Linked DNA regions of Neodiprion lecontei. The protein of the gene in region 1 purifies or fractionates together with the protein of each later gene. This does not show direct contact. Links are inferred from orthologs where the notes say so. Each region holds a gene or a part of one and is shown in the gene's direction. Other genes may lie near its edges. The genes, in order: signal recognition particle 54 kDa protein and signal recognition particle 9 kDa protein.

The links.
Region 2: the proteins of signal recognition particle 54 kDa protein (region 1) and signal recognition particle 9 kDa protein purify together in Homo sapiens (co-immunoprecipitation; 4 studies listed by BioGRID and IntAct, counting the BioPlex papers as one, with this or other methods). This does not show direct contact. The link is inferred for Neodiprion lecontei from reciprocal best matches to the Homo sapiens genes SRP54 and SRP9.

Annotation. Positions count from the first base shown.
Region 1 is NC_060263.1:31,043,090-31,049,949, reverse strand, and holds signal recognition particle 54 kDa protein, read left to right. Parts: upstream 1-2,160; 5' UTR 2,161-2,282; coding exon 2,283-2,360; intron 2,361-2,914; coding exon 2,915-3,091; intron 3,092-3,158; coding exon 3,159-3,388; intron 3,389-3,815; coding exon 3,816-3,966; intron 3,967-4,211; coding exon 4,212-4,360; intron 4,361-4,455; coding exon 4,456-4,717; intron 4,718-4,865; coding exon 4,866-4,974; intron 4,975-5,088; coding exon 5,089-5,355; intron 5,356-5,476; coding exon 5,477-5,574; 3' UTR 5,575-6,349; downstream 6,350-6,860. Other genes in the region: dehydrogenase/reductase SDR family member 7, read left to right, coding at 1-64, 195-361, 459-531; 28S ribosomal protein S2, mitochondrial, read right to left, coding at 885-1,534, 1,826-1,936, 2,001-2,034. UniProt on the Homo sapiens protein: Component of the signal recognition particle (SRP) complex, a ribonucleoprotein complex that mediates the cotranslational targeting of secretory and membrane proteins to the endoplasmic reticulum (ER).
Region 2 is NC_060266.1:26,102,929-26,106,847, forward strand, and holds signal recognition particle 9 kDa protein, read left to right. Parts: upstream 1-1,771; 5' UTR 1,772-1,958; coding exon 1,959-2,030; intron 2,031-2,350; coding exon 2,351-2,419; intron 2,420-2,500; coding exon 2,501-2,596; 3' UTR 2,597-2,858; coding exon of another isoform or gene 2,859-2,895; 3' UTR 2,896-3,163; downstream 3,164-3,919. Other genes in the region: irregular chiasm C-roughest protein-like, read left to right, coding at 1-215, 486-1,075; band 4.1-like protein 4, read right to left, coding at 2,859-2,895, 3,272-3,378. UniProt on the Homo sapiens protein: Component of the signal recognition particle (SRP) complex, a ribonucleoprotein complex that mediates the cotranslational targeting of secretory and membrane proteins to the endoplasmic reticulum (ER).

The DNA of each region.
Region 1 (6,860 bases):
TTTCTGTCCTGGTCCGACACAAACACCTTTCTTAGCAGAGTCTTTTACTGGAAAAAGTGGAGAAGTATGGACGACGTGTTTCCAAAAGTCATTACAATCCATCTGTTATGGTTTAAAATCTATTAGTAGGATTGTGTAGTATCGACAACAGGAAATGACCGAAAATTCGGGTTTATCTAAATTAAATTTTACAGAAACTAGGAGAAGAAACAGCCGTATCTGATGCAAAAATGAGTTCAGAACGTTGTGCCAATTTATTTGCAGTGGCATTGGCTAATGAAATTTATGAAGCTTGGGCTGCTTACCCTAAAGTAATGTTATTGGTACATATTTGCGCCTACTATCCCAATATATTGAACTTGTAAGTATATTTTAAATTATTGATTAATTACCACACCATATTTTGCTATAGTAATGTGTAGTAATCAGTAGTATTACTGTTTCGTTTTTTTATTTAGGTTACCCAAGTTTATATCATCGAAGAAGTTTCTTGACATGCGAGACTCTAAGCAAGTACTAAAAACAGAGTGAAGATAATATCTATTTTTCGAGGACTAATTTTAATTCTACCATAATACAGTCAAGTACCATTAGAGTCCATCAGTTATGGATCCTTTTTGACTTTTGCGAATATCTCCAATTTTTGCACCTTTGCTTTTATACCAGAAGATAAGTTCCCTTTCCCATTCAGTGCTACTGAAATCTTTTATGGTAGTAGTCATTATAAGTTATTATATTGAATGGGGAGAAGAAAGATGGTTTTTAAACAGACATTTTATTTACCACATCTATCCAATATTGTTGTTACTATGAGATGTTTATTAAATTTTGTACATTATACTGTGGTAATCTTAAATATATAATTTGGTAAAGTTAACCTTCGTTCAATTTTTCAGTTGATTGTTTATTTTTTTTCTTGCTTCTTTACCACGTAATATCGCAGTTTTGAATAGTCTACAATAGAGTTCAATCGCCACAGGTGTATCATCATTTCCAGGAACAGGGTAAGTGATGAGGTTTGGATTACAATTTGTATCGACAATGCCTACAGTAGGGATGCACATTTTAGCCGCATCTCGAACAGCGGTATGTTGATTTAATACGTTATTCAAAGTATTTAGGAATATGCATAAATCGGGTAGACGTGTCGCGTCGCCAAACTGTTTATCAGCGTTGGTAAATATTCCACCCCTCCAAAATCTTGTGTGAGAATATTCCCCGCATTCTTTAGCAGTTTTATCAACGAGATGCGCGTTTTGCGTATTTCTACAAAAAAAAACAATTATACCACCGTTAAATGCTATGTGGGCAGTGAAATTGAGGGCTCGTCGTAGATGGTCAGCTGTTATATCGAGATCAAATATCAAATGGTCCAAGCGAGATCCGAACAGGTAAGGACGCATATGATCGTCTAAAGAGCCAAGTTTATGACCATAGTGCACTCTTGCTTTGAATAAGTCTTGAACTGTAAAAAGTTTATGAACTCCAAAGAAATCTGGATGTTGTAGTGGATCTATTGACGGGACGTCAGTTCCTAGAAGAAAAAAAGACCGTTATCGAAGAACGTAGATCTGTGTGCCAAGTGTTATGGCTATTCATGGAGTTGACGGGTTTAGAAAACTTGGAAATCTCACTGTAAGCAGAATCCCAACCTGTTTTCTTAACCTATACAATGACTGAGAAATAGCCATTTACGACGGGAGGGAAGGAATTCGAGCCAACTAAACTTGAAAAGTTTCAGGCAAATCGGTGCAAAAAAGTGCTAAGCCGCTGGACATGGCAGGTTTAATTGATAATCAAAGTATTTGTTTAAAGACATCCCCACCTTCTTTTGAAACAATTTGAGGTTGTGATTGAGTTGCTAAATTCCTCAATTTCTGTGAAAACACCCTTGACGTCCGGAAGCGGCAACCCATATTTAGCACTGCAAAAAAAAGCGTGAGACACGTACGCTCTAAAACAAAATTTAACTGATCAATTTCTAAAAAACATACTTTTCGAAAAAAGCGTCTGCCCTAACACAGAAGCAGCCATTTTTCTACACCACACTATTTATTTTATCGAGATTCGAGAATCGCGGTATGAAAAGTGATGAAAAGTATGAAATATACTTTTGGTAGGCGGCCGCCTGGTGGCCAAGAACAAACTCACAACCACACCGGAAATAACGCCATGCCGTGTTGGCCTGGCAAGACGAATTTGGCATATCAGTGTTTGTACAAAATAATACAAATATTAAGATAATTGAATTTTGCATTAATTGTGTGAATTAAGACGGCAGGATGGTGTTAGCAGACTTGGGGCGTAAAATAACGTCCGCCCTGCGGTCGCTCAGCAATGCCACCGTCATTAACGAAGAGGTGAGGAAAACGATGTAAACAGATGGAAAGGCATTTAAAAACCCGTCGCATATTAAAAGCAAATACTGTTTATAACTATTCCCACCTCGTGTGATTGTTATGATTAATTTGTATCAAGATCATTGCAGAACATCGCAATTCCTGTTCTTATTAAAATACGTACATTTTTCTATCAATAACCAACCTAACCTAACCTGACTTTTCAACACACAATTGCACGCAATTACGTGATTTTTTTTTCGTTGAAATTCATCTTCGATCAATCGAATTTCAATGTCAATAGTATTCTATTGCAGAATTTAAATTATTGATTGTCGTCGATTTTGATATCACTGTAATTTCAGTAAATTAAGTCAATTTCAGTTCCACATCAATTTTTGGTTCGATGGTGAGAATGTGGTTGAGAAACATTGACCTTGTTTCAAATTTGATATTGTTAATGAAGAAATAAATATTAATTTTTGTATCAGTTATTAGCAAATTCGGAAATTTTTTTATTTTTATATTCATATCAAAGAAACTTCGGAAAAAATGGTGTAAACCCGTTTTTACAGGTGCTGAATTCTATGCTAAAAGAAATATGTGCGGCGTTACTTGAAGCTGATGTCAACATTAGATTAGTGAAGAAATTGCGTGAGAATGTTCGTGCGGTCATTGACTTTGATGACATGGCCGGCGGTCTCAATAAGCGGAGGATGATCCAAAGCGCTGTCTTTAAAGAGCTTGTTAAAGTACGTTTTTTTTATCACGATTAATTCTATTACCGCCGTGATTTTGATAGTCATTTTATTATTGCAGCTAGTGGATCCAGGCGTGAAAGCTTATCAGCCTGTAAAAGGACGGCCTAATGTGATAATGTTCGTAGGTTTACAGGGTTCGGGTAAAACGACGACGTGTACAAAACTTGCCTACCATTATCTAAAAAAGAATTGGAAATCCTGCTTAGTTTGTGCTGACACTTTCCGTGCTGGTGCATATGATCAAATCAAACAGAACGCAACAAAAGCTAGGATACCATTTTATGGAAGGTAACTTATTTTGAAACAAGTTAAGGAATCTTAAAGCTGAAATATTGTGTTGGTTATAGTAATTGAGATGATGAATATAAACATCTAATTGTATATCATAATTTATGTGCAAACTTGAAATTTAGTTACTCATAGAATAGTTACTCGACTGTAATGGAAAATGTTTTTTTCTGACTGGTTTTCAATTAATAATTTTCATTGAAAATATTGCACTACTTTCAGAGTAGAAAATTAGTTTGGAAAAATTCCATCTAAATTTTTGAGTGCAGTTTTGAATTAATCTTTATAGTAATAGATTCAGCTCTAGTAAGTATTAAGCAAGCATAGCTTTTAAAAACACATTACGAAATATGAACGTCTGTGATGTTAAGCTTCATTGCGCTCGCATTATTGGTTCGGGTATGTATTTACATTGCTGTCATCACAGTTATACAGAGATAGATCCTGCAGTCATAGCAGCAGATGGTGTGGAGATGTTTAAAAAGGAGGGATACGAAATAATTATAGTGGATACAAGCGGTAGACACAAGCAAGAGGAATCGCTATTTGAAGAGATGTTGCAAGTGTCAAATGCAGTGGTAGGTTTGAATGAGTTGTCAGCGGAACTCAATTCTTCAGAATTATTCAGATTGTGATTGCTTTATGCTATTTTATCATAGTCGATTAGAAACCTTCGCAATAATTTGACGTTCACTCAATTTCAACCCAAAACTATAGAAGAAGTTCATTTTGTTGCACTAAAATTGCAAATAACTTTGCATTACCGATTTCGTGAACAGATTGATCACATGATCCATTTCGATTCAACATCAATTTATTTCAGAAACCAGACAATATAATATTCGTGATGGATGCAACAATAGGTCAGGCTTGTGAGAGTCAAGCAAAGGCTTTCAAGGACCGTGTGAACGTTGGTTCTGTTATCATTACTAAATTGGATGGCCATGCCAAAGGTGGTGGTGCACTTTCAGCGTAAGTATTCATTGGAGCCAATTTTGAGCTGATATACTTCAGTAAACGATTTGATATTATACGATTCACTTGCTTATATTTATATTCTTTATTAGTGTTGCTGCTACTCAAAGTCCCGTCATATTTGTGGGTACCGGTGAGCACATAGATGACCTTGAGCCTTTCAAAACAAAACCCTTCATTAGCAAGCTTTTGGGAATGGGAGATATTGAAGGGTTGATTGATAAAGTTAACGAGCTCAATTTGGATGATAACGAAGAACTACTTGAAAAAATAAAACACGGCCAATTCACTATGAGGGATATGTACGAACAGTTCCAAAACATCATGAAAATGGGGCCCTTCTCTCAAATCATGGTAATTATATGTGACTCCTGGTATAGATAGCAAAAAACTATTTGGTATCAGTTGTTACCAAATAAGTTTCAGGATGTAATTAGTTTGGACAGATTATTAAGCATATATATTTTAAACGATATTCATATTTTGTGCCATTGGCTAACAGGGAATGATTCCTGGCTTCAGCCAAGACTTCATGTCGAAAGGTACAGAACAAGAATCCATGGCTAGATTGAAGCGCCTTATGACAATCATGGATAGTATGAATGACGGTGGTACGTGTAAAACATTACAGATATTATTCATAACTAAATCCTGCTTCTTTAGATTGATGTTCTATTCGCCACTTGAAATAATATGAATATGTAGAATTCAATCGACTTTTGTAGAGCTAGACAACAGAGACGGGGCCAAGTTATTTAGCAAACAACCAGGAAGAGTTGTGAGGGTAGCCCAAGGATCAGGTGTAACTGAAAAGGAAGTAAAAGATTTAATAGGACAGTACACGAAGTTTGCCGCAGTGGTGAAGAAAATGGGTGGTATAAAAGGTCTGTTCAAGGGCGGTGACATGACTAAGAATGTGAATCCTACTCAAATGGCAAAGCTCAATCAGCAAATGGCAAAAATGATGGATCCACGAGTCTTACAACAAATGGGTGGGTAGAAATTTACCGGTGTAACGAATTATGATTTGTGTATCTTTAAGGTAGCCTCGACCTCTTACCACAGCTTTCAACTGTAATTTATCGTCACAAATATATAAAATCTGTTGTGTAGGTGGAATGTCAGGGCTGCAAAACATGATGAGACAACTTCAGCAAGGTGCTGCTGGCGGACTAGGCAACTTGATGGGTGGTTTTGGAGGTAAATCCTGAGACGAAGAATCGGGCGACACTAATGAGTCGCGCGATTATCGCTCCCACCCACAGCACACTAGGAGACATCAACGAAATTAAGTATCACTTTTTATTATTGCGGAGAATTCTGTCTCTGTTCCCTCCCTCACCTTATTTGTCAGATTTTGGAATTTCTAAAAATATATTTACAGTTTTATTTTCTCTTAAGTTGTTCAGAGAATCTTTATTTTTTTACTGTATTTATAATACTGGGCTTCTGTCCAAAAGTTGAACATTTAATTCAGTTTTCACGGTGTAAGCACCGAGGAATCAGAAAGGCAGGCGTGCTGTACATTTTTTTATCTTTTGGAGAAATTAGCTATTTATTTCATGCATATTCCAGCATATTTACTGCTTTCTTGATGAACTCCGTATTTGACAGGTGCACTAGTTCTTTCTCCATGCTTCACGTTCATGCTAAAAAGCAGATTTGTAACAAATATGTATGAACTCGAAATACCAAGTGAAATTTCCTATTCAAAGCTTTCAAGTCTTAATACGAAAATAAATAAGTTTCATGTGCTACAACTGCCGTACATTCAGAACTAGGACTGATTCTGTAACGAAAGATTAATTTTTTACCGTAACTACGGCATACAATATTTGAGATTTGTATGTGAAAATAAGGTAGGTGAGAGTAGAGAAGATTACAATAACGATTACGAGATTTATTAACATGGTAGATACGGTATGCATTTGACCTCGTACTATGAAAATACGATGTTTTTGTAAATAAATTATTGTATAACATTTTTCCGACTTGCATTCCTTATTGAACAATGAATCCTGTCCTTCACACTCAGTTTCATAAATTTTCATCGCAGCACAAGCCCAAAACTTTCTAATTTTAGATCTGACTAACCCCCAACAATGCATGATAAATTACGTTCTGTACCAATAAATATATAAAATAAGAAGTTCTTTTTCGTGGCACGGAATTTGATCACGAGAAATAAATTTTTATGCCAATAGTGAATTGTACATACAGAGACATGACTATATAATAAATTTGTAGGACGAGATATTTCTTTTATTATCGATTATGACTTAATTTTTTCTACAACATTGCCTGCTTCGTACTGAGTTTATCATTAATTATCAATTGCATAAAACCTCATCACATCCGCCGCAATGATTGCTGTTTGAAAAAAAGGTTTTCAAACGATAGAATCGATTGTCGATATACACGTGATGTGAGAATGATCGCCACCGGCAAGTATCGAGCTTACGGTAAGAAAAAAGAAAAGTAAAAAGTAACGATAATC
Region 2 (3,919 bases), on another chromosome or scaffold:
AGAGGCGTCGAGCGACGCTCGCTACGTCCTCCACGTCACAGGACCCCCCGAAATCCAGACGGGGGCCTCGTCGGCTGGCGAATCCGCGGACGGAGGCGACATCCGGTCCATCGGGTGGGCCGGGGAACCGGTTCACAGACTGAGGTCCCGGTTCTGCTCCAGGCCTCCACCTCGCCTCGTCGCTTGGCAGTGGGGGAGCTCGCACATCAGGGCTGGTGAGTGATGTTCGATTGCGGTGGTGGAGAGTAGGGATGGAAGGAGAGTTCTAAGTGCAGATCCCGATACACAAAGACACGACACTTTTTTCCGGTGATCGGTACAGTCAATCGAAATGAGGAAAACCCCCATACGAAGAAAAGGGTTTGTGTCTGAACTGTGAAGCGGGTAAAAGGTCACCATTCGGATCTGTACCCAGAAATCTCCTGGTACTACTACTACGGAGAGTTGCATGTAGCAATTTAATATCCGAGCGATTGAATTTCCAGGAGAAAGCATTCCGCCGAAGTACGAAGCGCTTCCGTTGGAACCGATTATCGAGAACAAGATGGTGACGAATTGCTACTGGGCGAAGCTCGAGATAAAGGATTTGCAGAAGGAGGACGCGCGGGTTTACACGTTGCTGGTGGAGAGCGAGAAGGGCAGGGATTCGACGAATGTTCTTTTGCTGGTGCGGGACCCGATGGGGACGCGATTGATCGCGGCAGCCGCGGCTGTCGGGACTTTGTTTCTCCTCGGGCTATTCGCGATCTGTCTTTACGCCGCGTTCAGGTCTAAACGAACCGATTTGTACAGCCAGGAAGTTGAGGAGGGAAGCATTGCGGCGGACGCTTTTTACAGCCCCACGTCTACCGTCGACAGGCAGAGAATCGCCGATCAGTCTCAGATCCAAGCTAGCCAGGACCAGACCAAACCTCTGGCTAACAATAAAGAGACGTTGCACGAAAGCCCACTCGCTGTTCTTTACGGATACGATCACATTTCGAAACAGGCGGCTATGACTAGGTCGCCGATGAGCCCAGAAGCGCTGAAAGTTAGGAGAGCCCCCGTCGTTCTGCAGGCTCCAACGATAGTTTAGCGAACGTTAACGTTATTTCGTATGTTGAACGAAACACGTATTGATACAAATTTTTACCGAAAAGCTGCTTTCACGCACTATACTTGCTATAATACGCGTGGGATATTGTATTATTGATTATATAAAGATTATTCTTCTACGTAGAAAACACATTGTCCGTTTTTCTTCAACGATCAAATATTTTTTACAGAGTCTGAAACCTTAATTGTTATCTGTACAATAATCACTAATAATTTAATTACCGTTCGCTTCTAAACCATAATTGTTTGACATAATGTGACACCTATAAGCTTTTATTACCATTAATTTTCATACTAATTATATTTAATTATTTATTGTTTTCATTGTTGTATTTTATAGGAATAAAAAATAAATATGATTAAAGAAAAAACAATAATAAAAGTTGATAATTAAAGTCAAAATATCGTTTACAAACAAGTAACGTATCCCCCGAAAGTAACATCACAATGCAATATGGCGAATGGCAGATAACTAACTTGTTTTGATAGCGACGAAAATTGTACTGTGAAAATGCAATATTCCAATTGTTAATAAGCACCGCGTGATATTTTTAATCGATAAATACCACAGAGGATAATCGAGGTTCAGAACCTGATGTTATATCGGAATGACGAATGAAATTTAAGAAATGCGAATGGCAAGACTCGTCTACGAGTCTCGTAGTCTATGACCGATCGACTCCTCGTTTACGACGCGTGGAGACAGGTGGCCCAGAGATCCATGACAAACCGTCTCTGTCATTTGTAGGTTGGTTGAACGAGTATGAATGTTTATTTAAACGTGTGACTAACGGTAGAAGAACAGTTGATTAACGTGAAAGCAAACGAAAGCGCGTCCATTTCGCGGAGGTTCAATAATAATAATGACGTACCTTAAGTCATGGGAAGAATTCGAGAAGGTAGCTGAGAGGTTATATCTCCAAGATCCACTGAAGGTTTGCCATTTCACTTTTATTCTCTTCCACTTTGACAGTAGTTTATTCACCCTATAGATGAATAAGATTTTATTAAAAGTTGACTTGGTGCAAAATTTCTGTCAATTGCCAAACTGTTCAAATCATAACCTATATGTTGATCGTGGCGGTACAGTTAACACCAGCTGTGTACAATGACGCCGATGATAAATTTACATGAATACATAAGTAGGAAGAGTCGATCATTTGTAAAGATACTAATATTCCAAGTATTGTCAAATGATTTGTATGTCACCCTTGTTAACCTTTGTCTAACTTACTTGTTATTTCGTTTGTTCCAGGCTCGGTACACAATGAAATACTGCCATAACAAAGGTACTTTATCCCTCAAGCTCACAGACAATCGTACGGTAAGTAAAGCGTAAAGCACAAGTTAAAATGCTGTAATATTGTTGCAATCGCGGCTAAATCGTTCATCGTTTCACTTGCAGTGTTTGCAGTACAAAACAGAGATCGCGCAAGATCTGAAAAAGATGGAAAAATTCATAGGCAACCTGATGCGACACATGGCGTCCAAGGACAACTAATATTTATTACTATAGGAATATATTGTTTAAATAATAACGATGAAAAAGGATGAAACGAAAAAGAAAAACAAGGTATTCACAAGGATTCTAAAGTCCGTTTCTTTGACGATACATATATGTATATAGTATATTCATATAGATTTTTTTCATTTCTGTCTTTCATTCCATTGAGATAAAAAAAAAAAAAACAGTTTCTCTTTCGTTCTTTAATATACAATATGTGCATTGAAATTATTCTTCATTTGAACTTAAAGCTCGGTGCTTATTTCGGCCTGCTTCTGTGGCGGCGAGTCAGAGTTCTGTAACAACAGATAAATGTTCAATTATTACTTGTTCTTCATTTCGGCGATGGATGGATTAATCATCTTTCATAATTGCAATAGATACTTACAAATCCACATGCAAGAAATAGATTATGTGTATTTGGAAAATGAAAAGAAATCACCCGCCATGACTCAATTCACTCGTAACCTGTGCCACTCTTGTTTAATACCGAAGAAAACCATGTGAAAATAAAGTGGCAGAGGACGATTTGCAGAAGGAAATAAATTTTTTGAAAACAAAAAAGTGAAAACAATATTGAAAAAATAAGATCGTTGTTATACTTGGCTGCTTCTTACAGTCACAATGGCATAAAGAAAGAAGCATCTGCGCGGGGGGGGCGAAGAAACTTACGATATAATGGGCTGAAGAACTGCATCCAAAGTTGCGTCAGCGGGAGGGTAGATTTCTTGATTTGAAGACAGATCATAGCGTCCCTCTCCCCCCAATTTCTTTTGTTGCTATACCAAAGAAAACTATTTTTTACTAAACTACCACACAGCAGATCAATAAATACAATAGTCTACCACAGTTTCGTTCATCAGCATTTCATTAGAAATTTCGTTTAAACCATCATGATAACAATTAACTGCTGAAACACTACCAGGATATTTCCATAATTCAACTGAGAATATTCACTGCAAATTATACTTCTAATAAAATGCTCAGATTTGACACACACAAATACGTAGATCACCTTTGCCGTATTAGTTCAATCGTAAGCATTACGCAAAATAGAACTTTATCGAAACTCATCAAAAATAAAATGGTTTGGTCAAGTTTCAAAACGCAGTTCTTACAAGTGCAAAAATACGGTAACTGCGAGTAATATTGAAAGCAATAAGCAAAATCCGCGGAAAGCCAAGTTTTGCAAACAGTTTTGAAGTTTAAAAGTAAGGTAATTGTTATATTCAACTGTAGCCTATCTTGGGGGTATGATTGAAGATCTGTAAGTCTATCACACATTGTAAAATTGTCGCGACAAGTTTTCATATCTGCAAT